2 linked regions of the Caenorhabditis elegans genome follow. The protein of the gene in region 2 interacts with the protein of the main gene of each other region in a pairwise test. Each region holds a gene or a part of one and is shown on either strand. Other genes may lie near its edges.

The links.
Region 1: the proteins of plk-2 (region 2) and brp-1 interact in a two-hybrid assay, tested with the Caenorhabditis elegans proteins (one study listed by BioGRID).

What each region holds. Positions count from the first base shown.
Region 1 is NC_003281.10:12,018,995-12,025,829, reverse strand, and holds brp-1 (uncharacterized protein), read right to left. Parts: upstream 5,279-6,835; coding exon 5,201-5,278; intron 4,514-5,200; coding exon 4,334-4,513; intron 4,277-4,333; coding exon 4,031-4,276; intron 3,687-4,030; coding exon 3,240-3,686; intron 2,302-3,239; coding exon 2,094-2,301; intron 2,041-2,093; coding exon 1,850-2,040; intron 963-1,849; coding exon 654-962; 3' UTR 509-653; downstream 1-508. Other genes in the region: Y79H2A.12 (Serpentine Receptor, class BC (Class B-like)), read left to right, coding at 162-271.
Region 2 is NC_003279.8:2,755,081-2,759,926, forward strand, and holds plk-2 (Serine/threonine-protein kinase plk-2), read right to left. Parts: upstream 3,125-4,846; coding exon 2,813-3,124; intron 2,757-2,812; coding exon 2,465-2,756; intron 2,417-2,464; coding exon 2,304-2,416; intron 2,014-2,303; coding exon 1,579-2,013; intron 1,531-1,578; coding exon 1,087-1,530; intron 1,041-1,086; coding exon 738-1,040; 3' UTR 545-737; downstream 1-544. Other genes in the region: Y71F9B.9 (3-hydroxyacyl-CoA dehydrogenase), read right to left, coding at 3,994-4,164, 4,233-4,602, 4,649-4,846. UniProt on the Caenorhabditis elegans protein: Serine/threonine-protein kinase which plays a role, during oogenesis, in chromosome pairing and synapsis, by facilitating the recruitment and attachment of meiotic chromosomes to the nuclear envelope during prophase.

The DNA.
Region 1 (6,835 bases), on a different chromosome or scaffold from region 2:
GTTTCAAATTTAATTCGGTCGTTTCTATGAATTTTGAAATATGTAAAAATTCACTAAAAGTTTAGGACATTTTTGAAAAAATTTTCACAGTCATATTTGGTCATATATTCTAGGCGTATATTCTGTAATTTAAAGCGAAAAATTGTTTAAAAATTTTTCAGTATCAATAATCAAATTCATTCTAATCAATCGATGTTACGTCTATGCAAAACGAATCGAGAATGGGATGCTGGTTAGACAGTCGGATTTAACAAATGTGATGAAGTTTTGAAAGTTCCTTGGAAACACGTGGTGCCAGGCTGTCCCACCACGGTTTGATCTACAAAAAATGCGGCAATTTTTTGCCAAAAAAAGTGTGACGTCAGCACGTTCTTAACCATGCGAAATCAGTTGAGAACTCTGCCGCATTTTTTGTAGATCTACGTAGATCAAACCAACATGGGACACTCTGACACCACACGTTCTGAAATAAATACTTTTTTTTTCTTGATTTGCAAATACAAATTCAACAGCGAATAATTTTATTTACAAACCTGCACGCGTAAAAGATGGGATGATGATGATGATGGAAAATAATCGGGGGAGGACGAATTGTATAACAATTATTACATTCGAAAATTATTTTTTTTTAGCTCAGCTCAAAATTAAAATTCTCAAACAATCAGTGGTTTCAATGGTTTCTGAGTGGTTGCTGCTGTCTCAGCCCCTGCTGCCTCGAGAGCCTCACGTGGTGGATTGTTCTCGAAGAATTTGAGAACAGCTGCGAATGGATCCAACTCCTTCTCATGATTATCTTCAGATGATGTATGTTCAGCATCTTCTTCAGATTCCATTGGTTCAGGTGTTGTGGTGCGTTCTTCGATTCTTGGGAAGCTGTCCTCAATCACAATTGCTCCCTTTCCTTCGAGTTCTGGCTCTTCGGTGGTTGATGGGGTGGCTGAGTTGAGCTCTTTGTTGGCCGCCTGGAATATTACTCATTATGCCTCAGTGAGCACAAAACAGGGGTGGGCCGGAAATTGCCGTTCGGCAAATTTGGCAAATTGCCGGTTTGTCAATTTGCCGGAAATTTTGATTTTCGGAAAATTGCTGATTTGCCGTTTACCGAACATCAATTTGCCGGAAATTTTTAGAGAAATTTTTTATAAGACGGAAACACTTGCCTTTTTGAAATTCAAATTTTTGCCGGTTTGCCGATTTGCCAGAAATTTTAATTCCGGCAAATTGTGGTTTTGCACTTTTTTTTGGCAATTTCAGAACTTCAGAATTACAATATTAGTCGGCAAAATTGTACCGTGCCGACTATATATAAATAAACAATCTTTCTAAACACTTCCGGCAAATTGATATCCGGCAACTCGGCAAACCGGCAGAGAGCCGGAATTGAAATTTTCGGCAAATAGGTGAATTGCCCGAATTAAAACTTTTGGCAAATCGGCAAACTGCTGGAACCAGATCCGCAAATTGCCTGAACTTAAATTTTTGACAAATTGCCGAAATAGAAAATTTCCTGCAAATCGGCAAACTGGCAAAGTGCCGAAAATGAAAATTTCCGGAAAATTGGCAAACTGCCGGTATTGTAATTTCCGGTCAATCGGAAAATCGACAGATTGCCGGAACTCAAACTTCCGGCAAATTGGCAAATTGCCGGAATTGAAAATTTTCGGCAAATTGGCAAACCGGCAAGTTGCCGAAATAGAAAATTTCCTGCAAATCGGCAAACTGGCAAAGTGCCGAAAATGAAAATTTCCGGCAAATCGGCAAAATTTCCGGCAAATCGGCAGCAAATTGGTAAACCGGCGATTCGCCGATTTGCCGATTTGCCGAACCAACATGTTCCTGATGTACAAACCTCTGAATTCTTTTGCTCATCGAAAGCTGAGAAGATATCTCTGAGAATAGTATCAGAAACCTCAGCGGCATCCTCTGGCATTGGTGTGCTGCTCGTGACAACTGCTGGGAATGCAGTGTTGATGGGTGAAGCTGTGACGTCAGCAGTTCCAGATGCAGCTTCTGGAGCTGGAGTTGGAGTGATTGCTGTCCCTGATACAAGATTAATTGAAATTTTTGGGCTTTTTGCAAAAAAAACAACTAACAGATTTGACGAGTTGGTGCGTTGACTGGAATGTTCTGCGACTTCTTCTGAAGTTCCTCGTAGATCTTATCGTGAACTGATGGTTGTGGGATTGGTTGGAAGAATTGTGGAGCCTGTGGGAAACGGTCCTCAGGTTGTTGGGTCTGTTGTGGTTGCTGCTGATGCTGCTGTTGTTGTTGGGATGGGAAGAAGAATTGTTGGGGTGGTTGCTGGAATTTTTTTGATGGTTTTTTGACAAAAAAAATAGTGAAAATTTTTATCGGTTTCAGATCCCGAAAACTAAGCAAAAAACAGAGGTGGGCGGCAAACGATTTTTTTCGGCAAGCCGGCGAATTGCCGGAATTCACAATCTCTGGCTTATCGGCAAGTTGCCGGAATTAAGATTTTCCGGCACACCGGCGAAGTGCCGGAACTGAAATTTCCGGCAAGTCGACAAACTGCCGGAATTGAAAATTTCAGGCAAATCGGCAAATTGCAGGAATTGATAACTTCCGGCACATCAGCAAATTGCCGATATTAAAAATTTCCGGCAAATCGACAAACTGCCGGAATTGATAATTTCAGGCAAATTGCCGGAATTAAAAATTTCATGCAAATTGACAAATTTCCGGAATTGAAAATTTCCGGCAAATCGACAAACTGCCGGAATGGAAAATTTCCGGCAAACCGGCGAACTGCCGGAATTCATAATTTCAGGCAAATCTAAAAATTGCCGGAATTGAACATTTCCGGCAAATCGGCAAATTGCCAAAATTTACAATTTCCGGCAAATCTGCAAAATGCCGGAATTGATAATTTCAGGCAAATCGGAAAACTGTCGGAATTGAAAATTTCAGGCGAATCGGCAAATTACCGGAATTGGAAATTCCCGGAAAACCGACAAGTTGCCGGAATCAAAAGTTTCCGGCAAATCGGCTAACCGGCAAATTGCCGATTTTCAGTTGCCAATTTACTCAAAAAAAATTTGCCGAACTGCAATTGCCGCCCACCCCTGATCCAAATACGACGAAAAATTTTCGAAGTTTTTTGAAAAAAATTATGAAAAAAAAAAGCAAAAATTCAAATTTTTCAAAATGGAAAATGTGTCTAAAATCCAAATGCCAAAAAATTCGTAGCCCATCATCTAAAAATCTACAAATCGCCTTACCTGCCAGACAGTTGGTCTCTCCCATTGTTGCTGATGCATCATTGGTCTTGGCCAGAATCTCTGTCTCTGCTGCTCCTGTGGCTGTTGCTCCTGCTGTTGCCATTGGGCCTGGGCCTGAGCCTGCTGAGTCTGAGCCTGCATCTCCAACTGATGTTGTTGCCAGAAAGCTTGAGCACGCTGCTGTTGAGCATAGGTCTGTTGAGCCTCGTACTGACGACGTTGTTCCTCTTCATAGCGGGATCTCTCGGCCCATTGCTGACGGGCGGCCTCTTCCTGCATCTGTTGCTGTTGTTGTTGCATGTAGGCCATCTTCATTTGTTGTTGTTGGTAGTAGGCGGCTTGAAGTCTTCTCATTCTCATCATTCGCATTGCCATCATTTGTTGCATGTACATACGTTCCTCCATTATTTGTTGGAATTGTTGGCGGGCCTCCATCATTCGGTATTGCTGAAAAAATTGCTTTTATTGATTTATTAGACTCAAAATTGTCTGAAAATATCGAATTTCTTAATGAAACTTCTTAAAAACCTCTTGAAAAAAAAGTTATGGCAGCTCAAAAAATGGCCTAAAATTTTTAAAGCAGTTTAGCTGGCTTGAGGCGGGTAGGCATTCCCTTCAGGCAGGCCCTGGAACCGCGCCTGTCTATGGAAGCCCTACATATGCATATATATATATATATATATATATATATATATATATATATATATATATATATATATATATATATTTATATATATATATATATACAAATCCATATTTATGTATATATATGGTATAATTTGGTAACTAACCTCAATCTCATCTGGATGAAGTGGGCGATCCAAATTGGTAGAGGACTTCTCCTCAACTGATCCATCAACAGTTGTCTTCTTTTGACCTTCATTATTCGAAATATCCTCCACTACAACTACCCGAGCCAAGGGAATTGCCATCATTCCTGGATTTTCCGCAGAGTTTATAGTCTTTTCAGATGATCCATCAATTGGTTGAGCTAGAAGTGCCTCCATTTGTGGCTTGTTCACGGATGTTTCGGTTTTCTGGAATATCAATTAATTAAGTTTAAAAAAGCTTAAAATTAAAAAAAAACCCTGTACCTTGAAGAGATCAGGAGTAGCGGCGAGGAAGTAGAAACCGATGAGTGTCACCAGCAAAAGACACGTGGCAAAGAACATGCAATGGAAGCATGCTCTCATCGCCTGGAAAGCTGGCGATGGAGCAGGCTTCATTGGTGGAGCCGGCATTGGGATCACTGTGGGCTGGAGGACTGTGAACACCTGGAATAATTCAGATTTTGTTGATATTTCTACTAACGTTATTATTATTATTGTTACCGAATATATTCTTTGTGAGAAAATTTGAATTTCGCGCCAAAAAATGTTCTCAGAAAATTTGAATTTCGCGCCAAAAATTATTCTCGGATAATTTAAATTTCGCGGCAAAATACGTTTTCTCATAAAGTTTGAATTTCGAGTCAAATGTATTTTCTCATAAAACTTTAAATTAGCGCCAAAAAAATTTCTAATAAAATTTGAACTTCGCGCCAATATACGTTTTCTCAGAAAATTTGATTTTCCAGCTAAAATTTTTTTGTGAAAAATTTTGAATTTCGAGGCAAACTGTTTTTACACGTGGTGCCGGGCTGCCCCATCACGGTTTGATCTACAAAAAATGCAGGAACTTTTTTGCCCAAAAAACATGACGTCAGCCATGTTCTTAACCATGCGAAATCAGCTGAGAAGCCTGCGTCTGAAATCCCGCATTTTTTGTAGATCTATGTAGATCAAGCCGAAATGGGACACTCTGACACTACGACTTGTTACTCATAAAATTTGTAATTCGCGCCAAAACGTGATCTCTTAAAAAAAATTCGAATTTCCAGCTGAAATTTTTTTATGAGAAAATTTGAACTTCGCACTAAAAACAGTTCTCAGAAAATTTGAATATTTTTAATAGAAACTCACTTTTGGATCGATCTTGATAGACTCCTTCTCAACGTCCTCACTCCCGTGAACGCCGGGCTGTGCGCCTAGTTTGGTCATCTGTAAATGATTCTTGATTAGATATTCGAGTAAAAGACAAAAACAAAAAAAAGAGAAGAGATCAATGCGCACAATAGGAGAATTAGAGAAGCGGCTCACTTTCTCTCGCGGAGCATTAAACATTTTTGACAGGTTGGCATTCACGACTCTTCCGCGCGGTGTAGGAAAATGAACAAAAAATGATCTCCCGATGTTTTGATAGGAAGTGACACCAAGTTTTGAAGAAACACACAAAACGAGTTTTTAAAATAGCCGGCCACTTGGTTACTGTACACTTGAGAGAGGAATGACGTCATTCGTTTTTGTTTTTGACCAGAAAATCTCGATCAGATGATGATAAAGATTTCTGTGAAAAATTTTAAAATGATAAAGGATACTTTGATTTTTGATTTCTTTTCCATTTTTTGCAGCAAGGGTTTAAGGGCAGAGTATAATATACAAAGTTTGATGGTTCAGGTAAAAATAGGTAGGATGTGTTAATTCAAATGCGGAGGGTTTATTTTTCTCTTATTATAAATATTAATGTGCCTGCATACAAGGTGGAGTACGGCCTAAAATGAACAAATATCATAGTAAAGCTATTAATATAATTTCGGAACATTTTTCATTTTGAGTTAAAAAAAAAGTTCTGATTCCAGTTTTATGCTTTAATTATTTTTGAAATATTCATACATGCTGCAGATTCTTCGAAAAAATGTCTACATTTTTTTGAAATGTTTTAGTATGATTTTTGGTATTTTTAGCGCTCTGCATGATTTTTAAAAAATGTGAGTTATAATAATTTTTTTTGTAAATTTTGTGATTTTTAGTTAGTTAAACTCATATCGAGAACTGTCTTAAAACGAAAAAATTGGTGAGAAAAAGCCCGTTTGCTCTAAAAAATATTCATTTAGAACTAGTATTGGTGGGCGGCAAACTGCCGGTTTGCTGATATTCCGGAATTTTCGATTTTCGGCAAATTTCCGATTTGCCGGAAGTTTTTAGAGGGCTTTTTTATGAGACTGATAGTGAAACACGAAATTTCGAACAAAAAAAAAATGCAAAACCACAATCTGTCCGACAATTGCCGTTTTTCTGGAAAATGCGGCAAATCGGCAATTTGCCGGTTTACCGACTTGCTGAAAATTTCAATTCCGGCAATTCGCCAATTTGGCGGAAAAATTATTTACCGCCCAACCCTGATACATGCAACACTAACAGGGAAGTATGTATATACAGAAGTTTACGATACATACCGTATTTCCTCTATTAGTTTTGCACCCGCTTGCTCAACTTTGACAGCTCATATCTCAGTAGTTCTTTGTTCCATAGAAAAGTTGTCAACTGATAAAATTTTTGTGAGATGTTTTTCTATAGTTTGTAGTTTGTTAATTATTTATATGTTCAAAACAAAATGAGATATGAGCTGTCAAAGTTGAGCAAAGGGGTGCAAAACTAAAAGAGGAAATACGGTATATTCCAAATTATTTTTGTCCTATTATAAGTTATTATCGGTTTTTAATGTGGTTGCCACAATTTTAAATATTCTCCGATCAGAATTACAGTATTCCCCTCCCC
Region 2 (4,846 bases):
TCGAGCCTTCGAAAACTGATAAAATTTCAATTCCCACGACGGCATCGTAATCTCTAGTGAGCGGCGGAATATATATATATATATATGGGAAATCATCATAAAACAAGTTTACACAGTTACGAGACCTCTCTGAAGGAGACACTGCGGTAAACAAAACTACGGAGGAGCACGGATTCGTATCTTTTTTGAAGAGAGAGAGTGAAGCGGGAAAGAAAAGGGCAATCCGAAAACGAGGTGAATCGGATTTGACGAAGTAGGCACATACACGACGGAAGTAAAGAACGAGAAGTGCTTGATACGATTTGAAAATAATGTTTTCTCCTCGTCTTGCTCGTAGATTTTTCTGGAAAAAAAGTTTGGAATTGAACTTAATAAATGGGGGGGGGGGGGGGGTACATGTGAATAAATTCGGGCTCCAAAATGAATTGATGAAGTGGAACATGGAGACAAATGCGATTACCCACCACCCCCCGGCTGATGAGCATGATGACACCCGAATGTTTGTTCGTTCTCTTCTAAATTAGGAAGTGACATACATAGAGAGACGAAATGAATATTTAATACGAGAGGGGGAAGGGGAAAAATAAACGTTAAAAATAAAAAAGAAAGGCAATACAAAAGGAAGGCAATTTGCTTGGATAAAATTGATTACAAACACGGACATAAAAGTGTATTGATCAGAGAAATATCAAAACCGGTAAGGGGAAATGAGCTCAATTTGTTGCAGATCGATTTTCTTAGCGACGCGAGGATGATGGATAAGCCGGCTGGATATCTGCTGCAGATTCCAAACGGACGTTGCTGGAAGTCGATGGAAGGCGTACTGCATTGGCCGCCGGTGCATTGTGTTTCGTCTCCTCTTTCGTGTGTTCCTCGACGAGTCGTTGGATCATACACTTGGCGTATTGAATTCGATGGAGGAACTTCTCCGGACATCCATTTTCAGCCAAGTGTGAAAATTTGTACGTGAACATGCGCTTGTTCTCATCGATGAAGGTGACAGCTTGCATGAGTGGACACAACACCATTTTAATGTGATCCTGAAAAAATAATAATTGTTATATTAAAATTAACGAGAACTCTTACATTGAAAAAGTTTATCTGAACAGTGCCGTTGGAGAGATGAAGCACAATTGCCGACTTTGTTCGGAACCAGACACGAAGCGTCGGAAGGCGAGCCAAATCGTCTCCTACTTTCCGAGTAACTTGCTGTCCTGCTTGCAACAAATGATCATTCATGTACGATCGGAAATACTTGAGAAGTGTCATCTTCTTCTGTAGGCCCGATGGTATTGCGCTTTCCATGTCGAAATAGTGCTCCTTCTCGGTTTTCTCAATATATGTCAGCTGGGTGCCAGCAGTGTCCAGCATGATTCTTGAATTATCGTTGAAAAGTACTCCAACCGAATTATCGCAAAGCTGATAACCGATTCCATACTTATCAGAGTAGTCAACCCATTTGGAAATCCAGAACACGGGAAGAGCTTCAGGCGATTGATACGAGTCTAGAGCGGCTTCTGCATCATCAATCTGAAAGTAAAATTTTTGCTATTTAAATTAAAAATGTCATTTCCTTACATCTGCGGTTGGCGTAGCCAATAAATCGTTGACTTGAGCGAGTAAATTCGACAAATAGCAGTCAGTCGGCTGTCGGTACGCCTCCATTCGGTGAGTTTGCTGCCGTTCAGAATTTCTCGACACGAGATGAGCCGGAATCGCAGAAAGTCCGGATCTACCAGCTTGGTGCGGACCACGCTGATCGATCGTGCCACTTGGAGACACATTTTCCTCTGCGTATTCATCATCGTTTAAGTGTGGGACCATCGTGAGGCACGAAACTGGAAGACGAGCAGGCATGAAGCCGGATTTGAAGAAGTGATCTCGGCATACAGCTCTGGCATTTGGACGGCGACTCGGCACTGGGTCAAGAAGCACACGAATGAGTTGAGATGCTGCAGCACTCGCCGATGTTGGGATGACGTAGTTGTTGTTTTTGATGCGCGAATAGGTCTCCTGAAATATGAAATATGATGAATTTTGCCGCAAAGAAATATAGGCGTGGCGTAATTTCGCAACTCTGCGGCAACGTTTTTTTCCTCATTTTTTAGTTGTTTTTTTTTTCAATAAAGTTTCTTTTTATCATCATTTTCAGATGAAAATGTTATCCAATCAAATTCTCATCAGATTGTGAGGATATTTCATGTTTTTACAACCAATTTAGCATAAAATAGGATAACGTTTCAAAAAAGGACATGAAACAATAAAATCGGAGAAACCGTGCCGCCTCATTGCTGCTTCTTTACCTCCAAACTCTTCGACTCGAATGGCGGATGGCCGAAAAGAAGAATGTAGAGAATGCAACCAATCGCCCATAAATCGACTTCAAAGGAGTGCCCGATTTTGTTCAAAACTTCAGCTGAAAAATAAATATTCGATTTTTGCAACGATTCTGCGTGAAACATACGTGCAATGTAATTTGGAGTTCCACAGAGTGTCTTCTTTCTCTCATCATTATCACAAGTTGTTGCCAACCCGAAATCGCCGATTTTCACTTGCAATTCATCATTGAGGAAGAGATTTCCGAGCTTCAAATCACGATGTACAATCTTTAAATTGTGCAAGTAGAGCACACCTTCCACGATTTGATATGTAAAGTAGCGGGCTTCAGGCTCTGTGACCGCTTTTCGTCGCTTATGCAGCTCCATCAACGATCTTCTTGGACACAATTCCAGCGTGATGTAGACGTTTGATTTATCCTGGAATTTTTTTAAAAATAATTAATTAATTAATACCTAATTAATAATGTACAAACCTCGAAGAAGTGATATAATTTCACAACATTGCGATGTTGGAGGTTCCTATGAATCTGCACTTCTTGAGCCATTTTGTCTCTCTGATACTGCTTGATAAGCAGCGCTTTCGGGACGACTTTTCCAGCAAACAGCTCGCCTGTAGACTTGTTCCGCAGCTCGTAGCAATGTGCGAATCCTCCTTTTCCCAAAAATTTGCCTTTTTCATAACGAGTCTTGCGTTCTCCATCGAGAATCACGTCTGGAACATCTGGCGGCGCCTTCTCCTTCTTCTGGGACTTTACCCTTGCTGCAGACGGCTGTACACGCTGCATCTGAAAAGTCGAAATGTACTGTGAAATTTGAAAAAGTAAGAGGAACACGAGAAAAAAAAAATGTCACACGGCGAAAAGAAATGAACAACGACGGAAAAAGGCAATTAATCTAGCACCGACCTTCACCCGGAATGCGCCGACAGCGCCAGGCTAAGAACAACGAGAACAATGATAAATTGTCAGCTGTGTTTATGGGCCATTTCAGTGATTATCATGATATATTGACGGGAAAAGGACACAAAAATTACGGAAATAGGGTTCAAATACCCTTTTCTATCCCGTTTTCTAATTTTAATATACGCGAGAATGTTCATTTTAGTGCTTTTTTCGTTTTCAGGGTTGAAAAACAACTTTTTATTATAAAATTGACGGGGTAAAGAAGGATTTATACCAGAATTCGTTGATAATATCTCGAAAAATCGATGAATTTCCCATTTTAAAACGAAAATTAGGAGAAAATCAACGAAAAACACGTGTGATTTTTCAAAAAACAAAGCTGCCCGCGCGCGGGTCTCGCAACGATCGCGCCTGGGTACGGTAGTCCGAACGATTTACGAGCCTCGAAAATTATTGATTTTTCTGAAAATCGAATTACATAATTAATTAATTTAATGATTGCAAAATGTTTCCATTGAATTTTGCAAAACATTTTGAAACACAAAATCTATAATTATCAATTCCCGTGCATGTAATTACCGGTTTAGTGGTCAACTGTGTGTCCTTCGCGTGATTTTTATCGTATTTTTGCTGTTACATAGATTTGTATCTTGTTACGACATTTTTGCGCAATGAAATATGTCATAAATATCTCAAAAAAAGGGAGTATTTTTGTGCATTTATTGACAAAATAAATTCAATAAGAGGAAAAATTAAAGATTCAGGTCCTTCTTCAGCTTGGCAATTTCCACGAGCTTCTCTTCTCTCTCCGCTTGATGTTTTCGAATATTCAAAGTGCTCATTTTCGGCTCCAGCTCTTCTTCAAGCTTATTAATGACTTTCTCGTCTGTGAAATCTGGAATCGGCCCCATATCCTTCAGGACCTGGAAATGCTAGCGGAAATAAAAATAAATAAAATAAAAATAAAAAGCACAAGCTTCAAGCTCCTTACCGCCGTAATTCCAGCCGCATATCTTTTAAAATAATCTCTGACACCAAACGCGTTCAAATGAACCGTTTCACAAGTCCCATTGAACGCATATCTCGGCCCTAGACCAGCTGACATCACCGCATCCACATCATTCACGCCAATGACGCCATCGGCTACCAAACGCCAGGTTTCTGCTAGCAAAGCGAATTGTAGACGATTCACAACGAATCCCAAAACTTCTTTCTTCAGCTTCACCGGCTCCTGCTTCACAGATCGCATGATCTCTGCAGCTCTATCTACAGTATCCTGTGAGGTCCACGGAGCAGGAACAAGCTCGGTAAGAGGAAGGAAGAGCGGAGGATTGACGGGGTGGACGATAAGACAACGTTCCCTGAATTAATGTTAATAGAAATAAGATAACAAAGAAGTCTATTTACTTATTTATCAGACCATCAGTGAACTTGGACGCTGGAATTGTTGACGTACTACTTGCAAGGATCGTTGTAGGATCCGCGATCTCATCAATAACTTTGTAGAATTGAATTCGAAAATTTAAATCTTCAAGTGCAGATTCCTGCATATAAATTGCATTCTTCATAACCTCATTCAACGATGTAGTGGTAGAAACTCGAAGG